Linked DNA regions of Callithrix jacchus. The protein of the gene in region 1 purifies or fractionates together with the protein of each later gene. This does not show direct contact. Links are inferred from orthologs where the notes say so. Each region holds a gene or a part of one and is shown in the gene's direction. Other genes may lie near its edges.

Region 1 (8,477 bases):
GTCTGAGATGGGAGGATTGCTTGAGCCCGAGAGGTCAAGGCTGCGGTGAGGTGTGATTGTGCCACTGCATTCCAGCCTGGTGGTAACAGAGTGAGACACCATCTCAAAAAAAACTACAAATATGTGTGTGTATTTAATTCACTTTTCCTAAATAGAATTTATATTTTTATTTAATATATTAATTATTCATGTAGAGTACTTAGCTATTTTATGGATTACTTGACCTTCTAGTGAGCTTCCTGGAAAAGGTATAAACCCCTTATACCTTTATAACATTTTTTCTATTAAAAACACTTTCTAGATTTTAAATAATAAATTACAGTTTCTTGTTGCATAGTACCCTATGAACTTAAAGTTACATGTCTAATTTAAACAGAATAATACTTATTTGATCAGTAGTAGCAGTTTTATTTTTCTGATTGACTTTTGTAGATGCTCCACGCCCTACTAGTCATGCCCGTCCTCCATCAACAAGTTTGATTTATGACTCAGACCTGGCTGTCTCTTATACTGATCTTGATAATCTCTTCAATTCTGATGAAGATGAACTAACAGTGAGTATCTCATTAATAAATAGGAATATATTGATTTTATGTACATATTTTTTATTCTTTAGAAGTGATTTATGAGTTTAATACTATGATTTAGCCCTGAACAATGAGAAATATTTCATAGTAAAGTCTCATTGGTTTCTTTTTTAATCTCATGTTTGAGTAGTCTTGCCATAGTGTCACCTATAAACTTTGAGATTTTTGTTTCTCCTTTTGTTTTTACATTTGGGAAACACATGATTAACCTTAATTTGAGCTCTGCTGTATGTTCTATTTTGCAGTTTTAGGAAGCAGAATTATTTTCCTATTTGATTCTGTAGTTTGAGAAATGACCCTGGAATTTACTCATTCAGAGAACACATAAATAATTGACATTAAAGTTATTTGCTTTGTCAATTTATTAAGGAATACCAGTTCTTTTGAATTTGTTTGACATCACAGCTATTATTATAAGACAGATACATGATATAGCAATGAAAGAGGAAGAAAAAGTAATATTTGATCTTTAACACCCATTTGCAGAGAAAGGTGAAGATAAAAGAAATTAAAGCTTAAAATGAGATTCCCTAGAATGTCAAGTCTCTGGCAAATTAATGAATTGGGTGCTGCATTATCATAAAAGGGAATTCCTTTTCATCTGCATAAAGGTAGCTTGGAAACTTCTATGGTACATTTGGTCTTTCTTTTCCTATATAATATGCATTTATTCCTCTCAGCATATATATCTATATATGTATATGTATGTATATGTGTGTGTATATGTGTATATGTACACATATACACACACATATACATACATATACATATATATATATCAGATACATAAACTTTTACTATATATCCCATAGTGTAGTACATTTTAGAACACCCTTCACTAGGCAAATATATCCTTGAATGTTTTGACACATTCATACTATCTACTACCATTCATGTATCAGCTGTGGTTCCTCTAAGATAAAAAGGTTGTAGTCAGAATGTGGTCTGCATAGTAATATTTATCACAAACTGTCTAACAGAAGACATGGAACAAATGTTAGCTCTGAAAACATTGGTAATAGCTTGGAAATAGTAAAGCTTGTTTGTTCAATGTACTAAAAGTTAGGAAAACTATTGCTTTGTCATTAGATCTTCTGAAGTTTGTACTTAGTTTTACCTGTTACAGTATTTTTATAGGAGTAAGGAGATTATTAAAACAAGGTAAAAGTATAAATAAGAGTTCAGAGAAGTGGGTGATTGAATATATAGGAAAAACACAAACCTTAATGTATTCAACTTAAGGAGACAAATGCTTTGCAAGTATCTTTTACTAAGAAGCATTTCTAATGTTAATTACAACTCCTTCTTATTGCAGGTTTTCTTATTTTTATTTATTTTATTTTATTTTGAGACAAGAGTCTCACTCTGTTGCCCATGCTGAAGTGCAGTGGTGCAATCTTGGCTCACTGCAACCTCTGCCTTTCAGGCTCAAGCAATTCTTGCGCCTCAGCCTCCTGAGTAGCTGGAATTATAGACATGCCCCTACACGCCCAGCTGATTTTTTGTATTTTTAGTACAGATGAGGTTTCACCATGTTGGCCAGGCTGGTCTCAAACTCCTGGCCTCAAACTGATCTGCCTGCCTCTGCCTCCCGAAGTGCAGGGATTTTAGGCGTGAGCTACCACGTCCAGCCTCTTTATTTTGGGTTTTAATTTAAGATTAACCTTATTTGTGTGTATTTTGAAAGTATTGGTCATTTTCTTTCGAGGAACTTTTCCCTTTTAATTTGGTGGCTTACCAAATAAGTATTCAGAGAAACTAATCTGGAGTCAATGATTGTCTAAGAAATACTTTGTATCTTTCAACACTAGTATGTATTTGGCTGTATCAAATTCAAAATATTACTTTTAATGAACTGGCTTTACTTTTAAGTTATTTCTGAATGATTAGTATTTTGAGATCACATTGGGTGTAAAATTTTAGTTAAGTATGTGCTTTTTTTTTAAATAGCCTGGATCTAAAAAATCAGCGAATGGATCAGATGATAAAGCCAGCTGCAAGGAATCAAAGACAGGAAATCTGGACCCGTTATCTTGCATAAGTAAGTGTCCCACATCTGTGCTTGAGATAAATTTGCAAACTTTTAATTTCAAAAAAGCTCCCCACTCCCTTTGTTTTAAACACAGAGTCACCTATTTTTAGTCATGCATTAAAATGTATGTTTTTATTAAAAATATAGGCACTGCAGATCTTCATAAAATGTATCCTACACCACCATCATTGGAACAACATATTATGGGATTTTCCCCAATGAATATGAATAATAAAGAATATGGTAGTATGGATACAACACCTGGAGGAACTGTTCTAGAAGGAAATAGTTCTAGTATAGGACCACAGTTCAAAATTGAGGTTGATGAGGGATTCTGTAGCCCCAAACCTTCTGAAATTAAAGTAAGTATTTTTTTTCCTAGAAGAATAATTCACTTCTTATATTTTCTTAGAATTAGTTTGTTGCTGTATTCAAAAATTCTTTGATAGTATTTGCAGTTTTGTGGCTGAGGACTGAATTATTGTGTCACAATTACGATTGCATTTATGGAAAGAATAGGATTGCATTTATATTTTATGCTGTTTATAGAAAGGAAAAAAGGTCCAGAGCTTGTTTGAGTTTTTTGTTTATTTTTTTCCCAGAAGATAAGATACTAAAAACCTACCATCTTTATATTGTAGGATTTTTCTTACGTCTATAAGCCTGAAAATTGTCAAATTCTAGTGGGATGTTCCATGTTTGCACCTCTAAAAACTCTACCAAGCCAATATCTGCCCCCTATCAAATTGCCAGAAGAGTGTATTTACCGTCAGAGTTGGACTGTTGGAAAATTGGAATTGCTTCCTTCAGGGCCTGCAATGCCATTCATCAAAGAGAGGTAGGATTTATGTTATTATAATAGTATATGAATGCTTATATAGCTTTAATTTTTTTTGTAGATTTACCTGGCATGCTGGAAAAAGAAAATTGGTTTTTGAAAATTCCAAAAATTATTTCTGATTAATCAAGTATAATGATTGGCGAGGAACAGTGGCTCATTCCTGTATTTCTAGCACTTTGGGAGGCCAAGGTGTGTGGATCCCTTGAGGTCAGGAGTTTGAGACCAGCTTGGCCAACATGTGAAACCCTGTCGCTACTAAAAATAGAAAAATTACCCAAACCTGGTGGCGTGCGCCTGTAGTTCCAGCTACTTGGGAGGCTGAGGGACAAGAATCACTTGAACCCGGGAGGTGGAGGTTGCAGTGAGCCAAGATCGCACCAGTGCACTCCAGCCTGGGCGACAAGAGTGAAACTTCATCTCAAAAAAAAAAATTACAGTGGTTAATTGGGTATAGATAAACTATTGGAAAATTTATGACTGTTCTGCTTAATTTGTATTCAGAAGCACCTTTTCTTTTGGGCTGCAATTTAAAATCACTCCCATTTTTACATTTGCCATATTTTCCATACTTTTCACATTTTACCATATCTGAATTTGTCAGTTTCAACTTGAGGCAAAAAAAAAAAAAAAAAAAAAAACAACTGAATTTGAGATGTCTTATAGTGCACCTTAAAATTGCAGTTTTTCCCTATTTACACATAAGCATCTCTAAAATCTTTTTTTTTTTATAGTCAGTAGCATCTTATAAGTATTTCTAGTAAATGAAATTTATAGATAGTAAATATAGATGTTTAGGTATGTATTAGTGTATACAGAGTTTATTAATGATTTTTGAACTTGATTGATCCTTAGCCCACACAATTACTTAGAGTAGATAGGTTAACCAGAAATGAGAATTGACTCTACTTGTAATTCTTGCAGTACTTGCCCTTTCATAATTTCCTATGTAATTGAAAAACATTTGGGACATTTTTAGTTGTATTTCACATTACTAATATGTTCCTTAATGTATGTATTTTATTTTCTTTTACCCTGGTGATGATAGTGATGGAAGTAATATGGATCAAGAATATGGCCCTGCTTATACACCTCAAACTCATACTTCTTTTGGAATGCCTCCTAGCAGTGCACCTCCTAGTAACAGTGGAGCAGGAATTCTTCCTTCTCCATCCACCCCTCGGTTTCCAACTCCAAGGACTCCAAGGACTCCTCGGACTCCTCGTGGAGCTGGTGGACCTGCCAGTGCTCAAGGTTCCGTCAAATATGAAAATTCAGACTTGTATTCACCAGCTTCCACCCCATCTACATGCAGACCCCTTAATTCTGTTGAACCTGCAACTGTCCCTTCCATCCCTGAAGCACACAGTCTTTATGTAAACCTCATCCTTTCAGAATCAGTTATGAATTTGTTTAAAGACTGTAACTTTGATAGTTGTTGCATCTGTGTCTGCAACATGAATATCAAGGGTGCCGATGTTGGAGTTTACATTCCAGATCCGACGCAGGAAGTACAATATAGGTGTACCTGCGGCTTCAGTGCTGTCATGAACAGAAAATTTGGAAACAATTCAGGATTATTTCTTGAAGATGAACTAGATATCGTAGGGCGCAATACAGATTGTGGCAAAGAAGCTGAAAAACGTTTTGAAGCTCTCAGGGCTACCTCTGCTGAACATGTTAATGGAGGACTAAAGGAATCTGAAAAATTGCCTGATGATTTGATGTTATTGCTACAAGATCAGTGCACTAATTTATTTTCACCCTTTGGAGCAGCAGACCAAGATCCTTTTCCTAAAAGTGGTGTAATTAACAATTGGGTGCGTGTTGAAGAGCGTGACTGTTGCAATGACTGCTACCTTGCATTAGAACATGGGCGTCAGTTCATGGATAACATGTCAGGAGGAAAAGTTGATGAAGCACTTGTGAAAAGTTCATGCTTACACCCCTGGTCCAAAAGAAATGGTAAGTATGCTAATAAAATACTTTCTTGTTTGCTTATTTCCCTTTAGTTGTATGACTTTGCTTTTCTTTCTTAGGAAAAAGTATTTAAGGCAATTTCCCATGTAGTAAATAAAGACATTTAAAGTTGGACTTAAAATTCTTTTAAGGATGACGTTTTTAAAGGGAGAATTTCTTAGCAGTTTTAGTTTAATTTCACCAACAAAAGTATTGTTGTTATAAATCTGTAATTATATACTTACATAGGAATATAAAAGGCACTTTGCATCTGTTTATTAGCACAACATTGCTAGTTTTCTGCTTTATTCACATTCTTCCACTCATTAAATATTTGCTGGACACCTTGTATGTGCCAGGTATTTTCCTAGGTTCACCGTTGAACAAAACACACATATTCTTTTTTTTATTTAGATACTTTATTTTTTAATATTTTTTATGCACTTAAGGTTCTGGGGTACATATGCAGAACATGCAGGATTGTTGCATAGGTACATACATGGCAGTGTGGTTTGCTGCCTCCATCCCCGTCACCTATAACTGGCATTTCTCCCCATGTTATCCCTCCCAAACTCCCTACCTCCTGCTGTCCCTCTCCTAGGACCCCCCTCAACAGACCCCAGTGTGTGATGCTCCCCTCCCTGTGTCCATGTGTTCTCATTGTTTCAACACCCTCCTATGAGTGAGAACATGTGGTGGTTGATTTTCTGTTCTTGTGTCAGTTTGCTGAGAATGGTTTCCAAATTCATCCCTGTCCCTACAAAGGACACAAACTCATCGTTTTTTATGGCTTCATCGTATTTCATGGTGTATATGTGCCACATTTTTCTTGTCCAGTCTATCATCGATGGGAATTTGGGTTGGTTCCAGATCTTTGCTATTGTAAATAGTGCCGCAATGAACATACGTGTCAAAGCACACATATTCTTTGCTCGTTTTGAACCTATAATTTAGTGGAGAAGATAGGAAATAAAAAATTGAAAATTTTCTTGAGTTATCATTATGAAAAGCTGTGGATCTGGGTGAAATAACCTAAAGAGTAATTGTAGATAGAGCAGTACAAGGATGGGGCTGGCATTTAGAGATGGGGAGGGAGAGGAGGAGCCAGGAACAGAAATTGAGAAGAATGTTGGAGGAAAACCATGGGAGTATGGTATCCTAGAAATCAAGTATAGGGAATCTTTAGAAGAGAGTGATCATCTCTATCAATACTGTGATACATTAAAGTGAAAACTGAGACAGGCTATTAGATATGACCACATAGAAGTTGTTGGTCACCTTGATAGGCAGTTTCAGTCAACCTGATTAGAGTGGGTTCACAGGAGAATGGGATAAGAAGCAAACTTAGACAATTTGGTGGGGACTTTTGCTATAAATAGCAGAGAAATTGGATAATAGGGTTAAAAGAGAGGTTTATTATTATTTTTTAATGGGTGCATTGGGAGTGATCATATAGAAAGGAATTTAATTGACAAATATGGCTTATGCCTGTAATCCCAGCATTTGGGAAGCTGAAGCAGGCAGATCATTTGAGCCCAGGAGTTGAAGACCAGCCTGGTGAACATGGCAAAACCCATCTCTACTAAAAAATACAAAAATTACCTGGGCGTGGTAGCACATGCTTGGTGTCCCAGCTACTTGGGAGGCTGAGGTGGAAGGATAGCTTGAACCTAGGAGGTGGATGATTTCGTGAACCATGATTATTATACCACTGCACTTCAAGCCGTTTGACAGACAGAGTGGGACTCTGTCTCAAAAAGAAAAAAATGGCCATGTAACGCAAGGTTGAAAGAATTAAAAATCAGCCCATCAACAGGAGAATAGTTAAAAAATCATGATAGTACAGATGGAATGTTATATGGCTTCTGAAAATGGATACTTTTGTATATAACAAATAGATGAATCTTAGTAATAGTATTGAGGAGAGGAAGAGGGAACAAATCCCAGAAGATTACATATAGTCAGATACCCTTTAATAATAACTTTAATATGTTACCTTTAATAAAGTTCAGAAACAAACACAACTAAATGTATTATTTACATGCACATAAAATTGAGGATATTGGTTAATTCTTGAAATTTCACGTGTCCAAAAATGACCACAAGATAGGATAGGAAGAAACATTTAATAAGACTGTTTTGGTAATGTTCTAGTTCTTGGACAGTGAGATTACAGTTGTTCATTTTATTATTAAAGGAAATTTTTGAACTATGAGAGCAACCTATGGACCAGTGATTAAGTTAATGTACATGACATAATTTCAGCATTTATCCAATTATTTATTCTGAGGGACCAAATTTAAAAAGGGAAAAATATAAATAAATTTCATAGGTGTTCAAAAAAAGGGAAAGATTATTTTAAGCCATATAGAGTAGTTAAAAGCATAGGCTGTGGACTCAGACTGCTTGGGTTTGAAACATGACTGTAGCACTATATACTACCTGCTACCTTGGGCCAAGTTAGTTAAACTTTCTGTGCCTCAGTTTCTTAAAATAGGGTCAATAATGGATTTATTTTACAGGGTATTACAAGAATCAAATGAAATAATACATATAAAACAGAACAGGCTGGGTGCAGTGGCTCACACTTGTAATCCCAGCACTTTGGGAGGCCAGGGCAGGAGGATCATGAGGTCAAGTGATAGAGACCATCCTGGCCAATATGCAAACCCCGTCTCTACTAAAAACATAAAAATTAGCTGGGCGTGGTGGTACATGCCTGTAGTCCCAGCTGCTTGGGAGGCTGAGGCTAGAGAATTGCATGAACCCGGGAGACAGGGGATGCAGTGAGCCAAGATTGTGCCATTGCACTCAGGTGTGGGCGACAGAGTGAGACTCCATCTCAAAAAACAAACAAACAAAAAAGAGCAGCTGATCCCCCCACCTTGGCCCCCATAGTGCTGGGATTACAGGCACGAGCTTCCCAGGAGTTTGAGACCAGCCTGACCAACACGGTGAAACCCCATCTCTACTAAAAATACAAAAATTAGCTGGACATGGGGGTGCATGCCTGTAATCCCTGCTACTTGGGAAGCTGAGGCAGGAGAATCGCTTCAACCTG
Region 2 (7,247 bases), about 25 Mb from region 1:
CTGATGGATCGCCAAGAAAGATGGATATTCTGGAGAAATGATGAATAGTTAACATGAATTAGCACCATCTGGATTGAAATTTTCCACTACAGATGAACATTTATTTAAAAAAATTAATGATCATTGACAGTTTTTTCCTATTACGCCTCAATGACTTACTTTTAGAACAGCTTACTGAGTTGCCTTTTAGTTTTGGTCTCAACCACGTAACTTTTTTTTTGAGACAAAGTCTTACTCTGTCACTAGGCTGGAGTACAGCGGTGGTGTGGTCTCGGCTCACTGCAACCTCTGACGCCCTGGTTCAAGCAATTCTACCTCAGCCTCCCGAGTAGCTGGGGCATGCGCCACCGTGCCCAGCTAATTTTTATATTTTTAGTAGAGACAGGGTTTCACCATGTTGGCCCAGATAGTCTTGATCTTCTGACCTCAGGTGATCTGCCTGCCTTGGTCTCCCAAAGTGCTGGGATTACAGGTATGAGCCACTGCGCCCGGTCCACTTAACTAACTTTTTTAAAATGTATAGGATGGCTCACGCCTGTAATCCCAACACTTTGGGAGGCCAAGGTGGGTGGATCACAAGGTCAAGAGATCGAGACCATCCTGGTCAACATGGTGGAACCCCGTCTCTACTAAAAATACAAAAAATTAGCTGGGCATGGTGGCACACGCCTGTAATTCCATCTACTCAGGAGGCTGAGGCAGGAGAATTGCCTGAACCCAGGAGGCGGAGGTTGCAGTGAGCCAAGATCGTGCCATTGCACTCCAGCCTGGGTAACAAGAGCGAAACTCCGTCTCAAAAAAACAAACAAAAAAAAAGTATAGGAGCAACTTTCAGGCTGTTTCTTTCATCTCAGGTGAGGTTATTCTTGCCTCGTTTTTCACTGAGTGGGAGCTCTGTGCAGCTAATAGTAGCTGTGAGATGGAGCGAATGATCTGCTTTGAAAGTGAACTTGACTCAAAGGGTAAGGAGTGTACATGACCATAGTAGAAGAGAGCCTATGTCTGCTGAAACATTTAAATTAACTAAACTTTAAAATTTATGAACAGCTCTGTGGATATTAGTCTTTATGTTAACCAGTTCAAGCCAGTATCAAAACCTCCACTAAAGTTAGCTCTTGCTAGCTGGTAGAGCCTCCTGACTGGTCTGGAAATGTCTCCAATTAGACGAAATGTCGTATTTCAGTAAGTTGTGTTTGGCATTTGTCACCTGCTGTTGGTATTGGTTTGTTCATTGAATACATGTTCTGTGAGCTTATTTGCCAAGCATTCATTCTTTCCATGGATATTTCTTGAGTGCCTGCAGTGCCCTGTACACTGGGCCAGGGGTAGGGAGACATCTGTGACCAGGCAGACATGGTCCTTGACCTCACAGAGTAACAGTTGACAAAGTGTTCTAAAAGCTGTTGCAGGAATGACAGCCAGCTCTGGGGGGTGCAGGGCAGGAAAGCCACGATGAGTATCAAGCTGCGAATGCTCATGGCTCTTACTCTGCCCCCGCAGCATGGACAAGGACAGCCCCGAGGTCCACCAGGACCTGAACACCCTCAAAACCAAGTTCCAGGAGATGCGCAAGCTCATCAGCACCATGCCCGGCATCCACCTGAGCCCTGAACAGCAGCAGCAGCAGCTGCACAGCCTCCGGGATCAAGTCAGGACCAAGAACGAGCTTCTGCAAAAGTACAAGAGCCTCTGCATGTTCGAAATCCCCAAGGAGTAGAGCGAGGCCGACTTCCAGGAGCACCTGAGAAAGAGGGAAGCAAATGGCCTGTCACCCCACAGCCACTACCCCCCCGGCCGAACGCTTGTTGGGGCACAGTTCCTGTGGAACCCAGCTCAGAACTTCAAGCTGCAGGGGCGGGGTTCCTGTGCGGGAGCCAGCGCCGAGAGCTTGGCTGTGCTGGGGCTTCCTTGTGTAGATCCATATGTCTAGATGCATAATAACTGGAGTGCCTGCTGGTGGAAGTCAGAATGCTCCTGGAGGCTGCGGAGGGGGTGGAGGACTCTCCCTTGCCTCTGGGGAGGGGGCCATCTGCTTCGCATCCAGCCCCACTGACAGATCTGAAGAACACAGTAAGAAGGGAGGCGGTTCCTCTCTGCTTCCTTCCCTCCCCCTCCTCCCACCCCCATAGGATCAGTGTGTACCAGGTACATATTGTTCCTGTTAGCAGCAGCTTCTTGAAACACTTGCATAGAATCCACTGGACAAATTAAGCCTGCGCTCATATGGCATAGAGCTGTGAGAGAATGTTTTGAAAGGCCACAGGGTGGCTTTTTTCCCAGTTTGGTTCCTTTTCTGTTTGAGCGGTGAAGGAACTATAGCTGTGGGGGTGTCGGCCCACACCCCTGCCAGGCAGCCCCTGGCTGCAGCTTCCCTGCTTCCTAGCACTCTCCTCTCCTTCAGCGCTTGCTCTCTTCCTTGCTCGGCACCTTCAGTCAGTGCCCAGGGCTGGCAAGGGGCCGTCCTTTCCACTCAGGCTGGAAGAGGTCTTCAGGCGGACAGACCTGTCTTCTGTCATTTCAGATTCCCATTGCCGTGGTGAAAAGGTCTTTCCCTTCTGTTCTCACTTGTGGCAGCGATGTGTACTATGCTGCAGAGGGGTTCATGATGCACCTTGTGTTCAGAGAGGGGCAGTTCGGGTGGTCCTCAGCCATGAGCTAGGCCTGACAGTGACACAGCCAAGTTTGAGCTCTTAAAGGTTTATAGCAGCCCTCATTTCCCCAGCATCCCTGATTTCTTCCGGATGGGACATTTTCTTTGTTTGCTCTCCCTTGACTGTCAAATTGAGGTAGGAGTAGTTCTCACCCTTGCTTCTCCAAGAGGGGGTGCCAAGTCCTGGAGTGTTGTTTGGGTCTAGGAATGAGCACACAACCTGCGCTGACCACTTCGGGGACTTAGCAGATGCCCGCCAACTGACCTCATTGGTAGGAGGACTGGGTGAAGATGTTTTTAGCAGAGCTGCCATTAGTGTCCAACTGCAGCTACCTATCAGAATGTGGGTGGTATATTGGGGACCTGGGGATGTGTGAAGGAGGAGACCAGATTTCAGTGGCTTTGCACAAAAAAGTAGGCTCGGAATTCAAGTGGGTGGTCACCTGTTAGACCAGTTCTACCTTGGAACTGTTATTTAACTGAATCAGTTATTTCCTTGAAATTTCACAGTTGCGGGTCGGCCACTTTTAAGGCTCTGACAGATACCATGAAACATGAAGCACATGGAAATCTAAGACCCTTGGGGTCTGAATGCAAGGCTGAAATGAACAAGGGCTCCTCACGCGGGTGGAGGGAGCTGGAGCCTACCTTGTGTTCCTGTTTTGACTTGTGACATTCAAACGCATAATTAAAAGGACTTGTACTCTGCTGTTTCTGGACATCATGCTTTCTGTACTGAGAAATTCATAGTGGGATGCTCTCAGATCATTTAGAGGAAAATGTTTCTCTTACTCTGTTCAGACACAGAACCAACCCTCTGTTCCTCAACTCCCTCCACTCACCTGCTGAACCAGTGTGGAACAGGAACTCCTCTCCCGGCTGGCCTCAAGGGGAGTTTGCCTGGCAGGTCATCCCTGCCCCTGCCTGGCACGGGCCCCTGGGCATCCGTGGTTGCCTTTGATGGAGTGGCAGGGTGGGAGTGGGGGTCCAGTGCCTTTTGGTGACTGGAGGTTTAGTCCTGCCAGAACTGCCCTCCCTGAGCAGGGTTGAAATCCTTCTAGGACAATTGTTGAGTGTTCCTCACAGGGCTGAGCACCCTCTCAAAGCCACTAATTATTTGGATTACTGGGTGGCATGCATTTGTGCTAAGTACTTTTCAGATACCACACTTAATCCTCACAGCAAGCCCATGCAGAGGGTGCTCTGCCCCAGGTTTGCAGTACTAGTGACAGAGGTGTTCCTGGGTGCCTTAGGCATGAGAGGGAGATAGCAAGGCTGAGGGGTGCATGGGGCTCCACTCCTGGGCTTGAGCACTGCCTGGAGCTAGAAGGGAGCAGACGCCCAAGGGTTAGCTGTTTCCTGCCAGGGTGGCACCCTGGAGGGAGGGGGTGGGAGTGGGCACCTGGATGGACCTGCTTCCAGATGGGTCTCAGGGTCTTTCCTCAGGGCCTGAGTGATACCTCCCAGTCTGAGAGTTCGCCTGGGCCCACACTGAGTCTGGTGACAAAATGGCTAGGCACAGTTCCAGTGGCCCTTGGGCTAAGGAGAATTCAGAACGTTTTCTTAGAAAATGAGGCCTTTTGTCATCAAACACAAAGAAAATTAAGCGGGTAGGTGGCTAGAAAGAGTTCATCTCCAGGAGGGACCCTGAAATCCTTTACCTTCGTCCTGGTTTTGTAGGGAACCATCCCCTGCATAGATGCCCCAGGCACCTAGGGCCTTTCTGGCCGCCAAAGCTGCTTTCAGAAGGGCAGGGTATTTTCCAGTTCCGAGGAAGGTTAAGTTCTAGTTCCACACAAGTCAAAGCCCAGCCCCTTCCCTCTCCCTACCCTTCCCGCCTCCAGCCATCTCTAAAAGCAAAGAAAAACCGGTTTTCCATTTTAAATTATTTTATTGTATATTTAAAAACCAACAGTAATAAAGACCTCACTCGCACACACGCAGTACAAATACCAGGGTGAGGTTTTGTTGGTGTCCGTGTTGACACCGGAACTACTGTTAAAGTGCAAGTTTGGTTTTGTGTTCCTTTGTGCAGTTTCACTCACATGTAAACAAGTCACTTGGCTATGATTTGACCCAGCCCCCCTTAGTTTTGGGAGGGCACAGGTTCTGCCGGCTGTCATGGCAACCCGGAATCACAGACAAGATAATGCCCCGTGGGTCCTGACCCTCAAGCCGGGCAGGACGGTTTCTTGAAGCCTAACAGGCTGGATAACTTCACATCACCCCCACCCCGCACTCACTCTTAGGTCTTTGAGAAGACAATGCCACTCTCGGCAGGGCCCTTGCCCCCCACCCCGCCAAGTTGTGGGGATGGGATGGGGTGAGGGTGGGAGTAGTCTCAGTCTTGGCCAGTTCTCTTTCCTTCCAGAGCAGATGACTGTCCCTTCTTGGTTCAGTGGCGCCTCCCCAGCGCTGGGGGCGGATCGCGGGGAGGGAAGACGCTAGTCCAGTCCGCGCGCTCGCGGCCCCGGGGCGCACGGGGCGTGCCGGGCCGTTGGATTTGACTTAAACAAAAAGGTCCTCCTTATGTCGTGTGGCTGCCGGCGCGGTGGGGCTCCTAGCTGATGACGCAGCGCTCCTTGTCCTTCGCCTGGCTGCCGGCGCTGGCCTTTTCTCGGATGTACATGAGGTCGCTGTGCACGCTTGGCCGGCGCGCGAAGGGTGCCACGATGCCGAAGGCGTCGCCCGGGTCGCCGCCGCCGGCCCGCAGCAGCCTCTTGTTCCGCAGCGCCTTCTTGTGCAGCACGTCGCAGTACTGCACGGAGACCTTGCGGTGCAGGTCCGGACTCATCTCGCTTGGCAGCTTGGCCATGGCGAAGAGTGCACGGAACATCTGGTCCAGGCTGCTGTTCTTCTTGGCTGAGATCTCGAAGTAGGCGCAGCGCTGGGGGTCGTCGCCCACCAGCTGCTCGATCTCGCGCTGCTCCACCTCGCGGTAGAAGTCCCGGTCACCCTTGTTGCCACAGATGACCAGGGGCACGTCCACGTTCTCCTTGGTTTTGTTCTTGAGGCAAGCCTTGGTGTCGAGGATCTGCTGTCTGAGCCGCTGAACCTCCTCGAAGGAGTCGCGGTTGTCCAGGCTGAACACCAGGATGAAAACGTCTCCTAGAGGGGGCACAGAGAGCAGAAAAGGAGAAGGTGAGGGTGGCTGTCCAGGGGACAAGTTGGGCTGACTTCGGGGTCGCGCGGGGCGCGCTTGCCTCTCCAAGCGCGAGGCGCGCGACTGGCGCTCGCGGGCTGTCCTGGCAGAGGGTTCCCCGCCCTTCCCTCCGGCGCCTGCCCGGCCCCCGGCTCACCTGTGAGGATGGAGAGGCGTCGCATGGCGGGGAACGGGTGGTTGCCGGACGTGTCGAGGATATCGAGCTGGTAAACCTCGCCGCGGATGGAGTAGAACTTGCGGTGGAAGTCCTCGATGGTGGGCGTGTAGGCGTCCTCGAAGCGGCCGGTGAGGAAGCGCGAGACGATGGCCGTCTTGCCCACCTTGGACGAGCCGAGGATAACCATGCGATAGCAGTTCTTGGCCGGGATACTCAGCTCCGAGTCGCTGGGGCACATCTTCTTGATCATCGCGGCCAGTTTCATTGGGCAGAGGGGCCGCGAGGGCGGGAGCGGGGCCGAGCGAAGGGCGGAGAGTGGCCGGAGGCGCTGGGGAGGCGCGCGGGTTAGCGGCCGGAGGGCTCTGCTCGGGCTGGGCGCGGCTCGGGCTTGGGGATCCGGCTTCGCTCGAGCTGGGCTTGGGTTTGCGCTCGGCTCAGAGTCTCCCGGGCTCTGGGCACAGGCAGCTCGCTCTGGCTTTGGCGCCCGGCCGCCGCCCTTATATGCAGCCTGCGTGGCCGCCCCGCCCCGGCCCTCCCAGCTTGGTGCGTCACGCCCCGCGAGACCCGCCTCCCCCGCACCCGCTCCAGGCCCCTGCGACCTCGCCGACCGCTGCCCCGCTCCTGCTCTCTGGGCGCGGGGGCTGGGGGAAACTGAGTCCAGGGTCGGGCTGAGGCTGGAGGCGCTTGGACTCCGCTCTTCCACCGCCGCGGGCTCGGCTGCCGCAGGGGTGTTGGGGTTCTGGTCTCGGCGGTGCCCCGACCCTCTGCGACCTCTAGCAAGGAGCCCCCTTCCAGCTCCTCCCGCGCGCGTACACTCACTTTCTTTGGTTCTCAGTTTCCCCAGAGAGATCTAGTAAGTAACCCAGTAAGCGCAGCAGCGTTTGCTGGGGGCTTGCGCGGACCGTATATTGAAGTCCCCAGAGCATAGCCCAGACACCTCCCGCTCCGGTCCCCAGCCCGGCGCTTGTTCCCGGGAGGCGGAAGCCGGGCTGACAACGGGTTTCCGGGCCTCTGGCGCGCAGCTCGGCACCGCGCGCTCAGGCCGCCAGAGGGCAGCAGAGGGCCCGGCCGATGGCGCGGGGAAGCTGCGGGCGCCGCGTTCAATGCTGGAACAGGCGAGGAGCGGGGCGGGTGGTGAGCGGGAGGGACGGGGCAGGGGCCTCGGAGCGCCAGGCTGGGACCCAGCAAGAGCGGTCCCCAACCCCGCGCTCTGCTGCAGGCCTCAGCTTCCTTTCTTCCAGCCAGAGATGCTCTGTGGCATGGAGGGCTCTGCAGCC

The links.
Region 2: the proteins of MED13 (region 1) and MED9 purify together in Homo sapiens (affinity purification with mass spectrometry; 6 studies listed by BioGRID and IntAct, with this or other methods). This does not show direct contact. The link is inferred for Callithrix jacchus from reciprocal best matches to the Homo sapiens genes MED13 and MED9.

Annotation. Positions count from the first base shown.
Region 1 is NC_133506.1:94,819,575-94,828,051, forward strand, and holds part of MED13 (mediator of RNA polymerase II transcription subunit 13), read left to right. Parts: intron 1-432; coding exon 433-554; intron 555-2,537; coding exon 2,538-2,628; intron 2,629-2,766; coding exon 2,767-2,981; intron 2,982-3,260; coding exon 3,261-3,457; intron 3,458-4,505; coding exon 4,506-5,422; intron 5,423-8,477. UniProt on the Homo sapiens protein: Component of the Mediator complex, a coactivator involved in the regulated transcription of nearly all RNA polymerase II-dependent genes.
Region 2 is NC_133506.1:69,653,387-69,660,633, reverse strand, and holds the end of MED9 (mediator of RNA polymerase II transcription subunit 9), read left to right. Parts: intron 1-1,500; coding exon 1,501-1,717; 3' UTR 1,718-3,359; downstream 3,360-7,247. Other genes in the region: RASD1 (dexamethasone-induced Ras-related protein 1), read right to left, coding at 5,211-5,758, 5,950-6,235.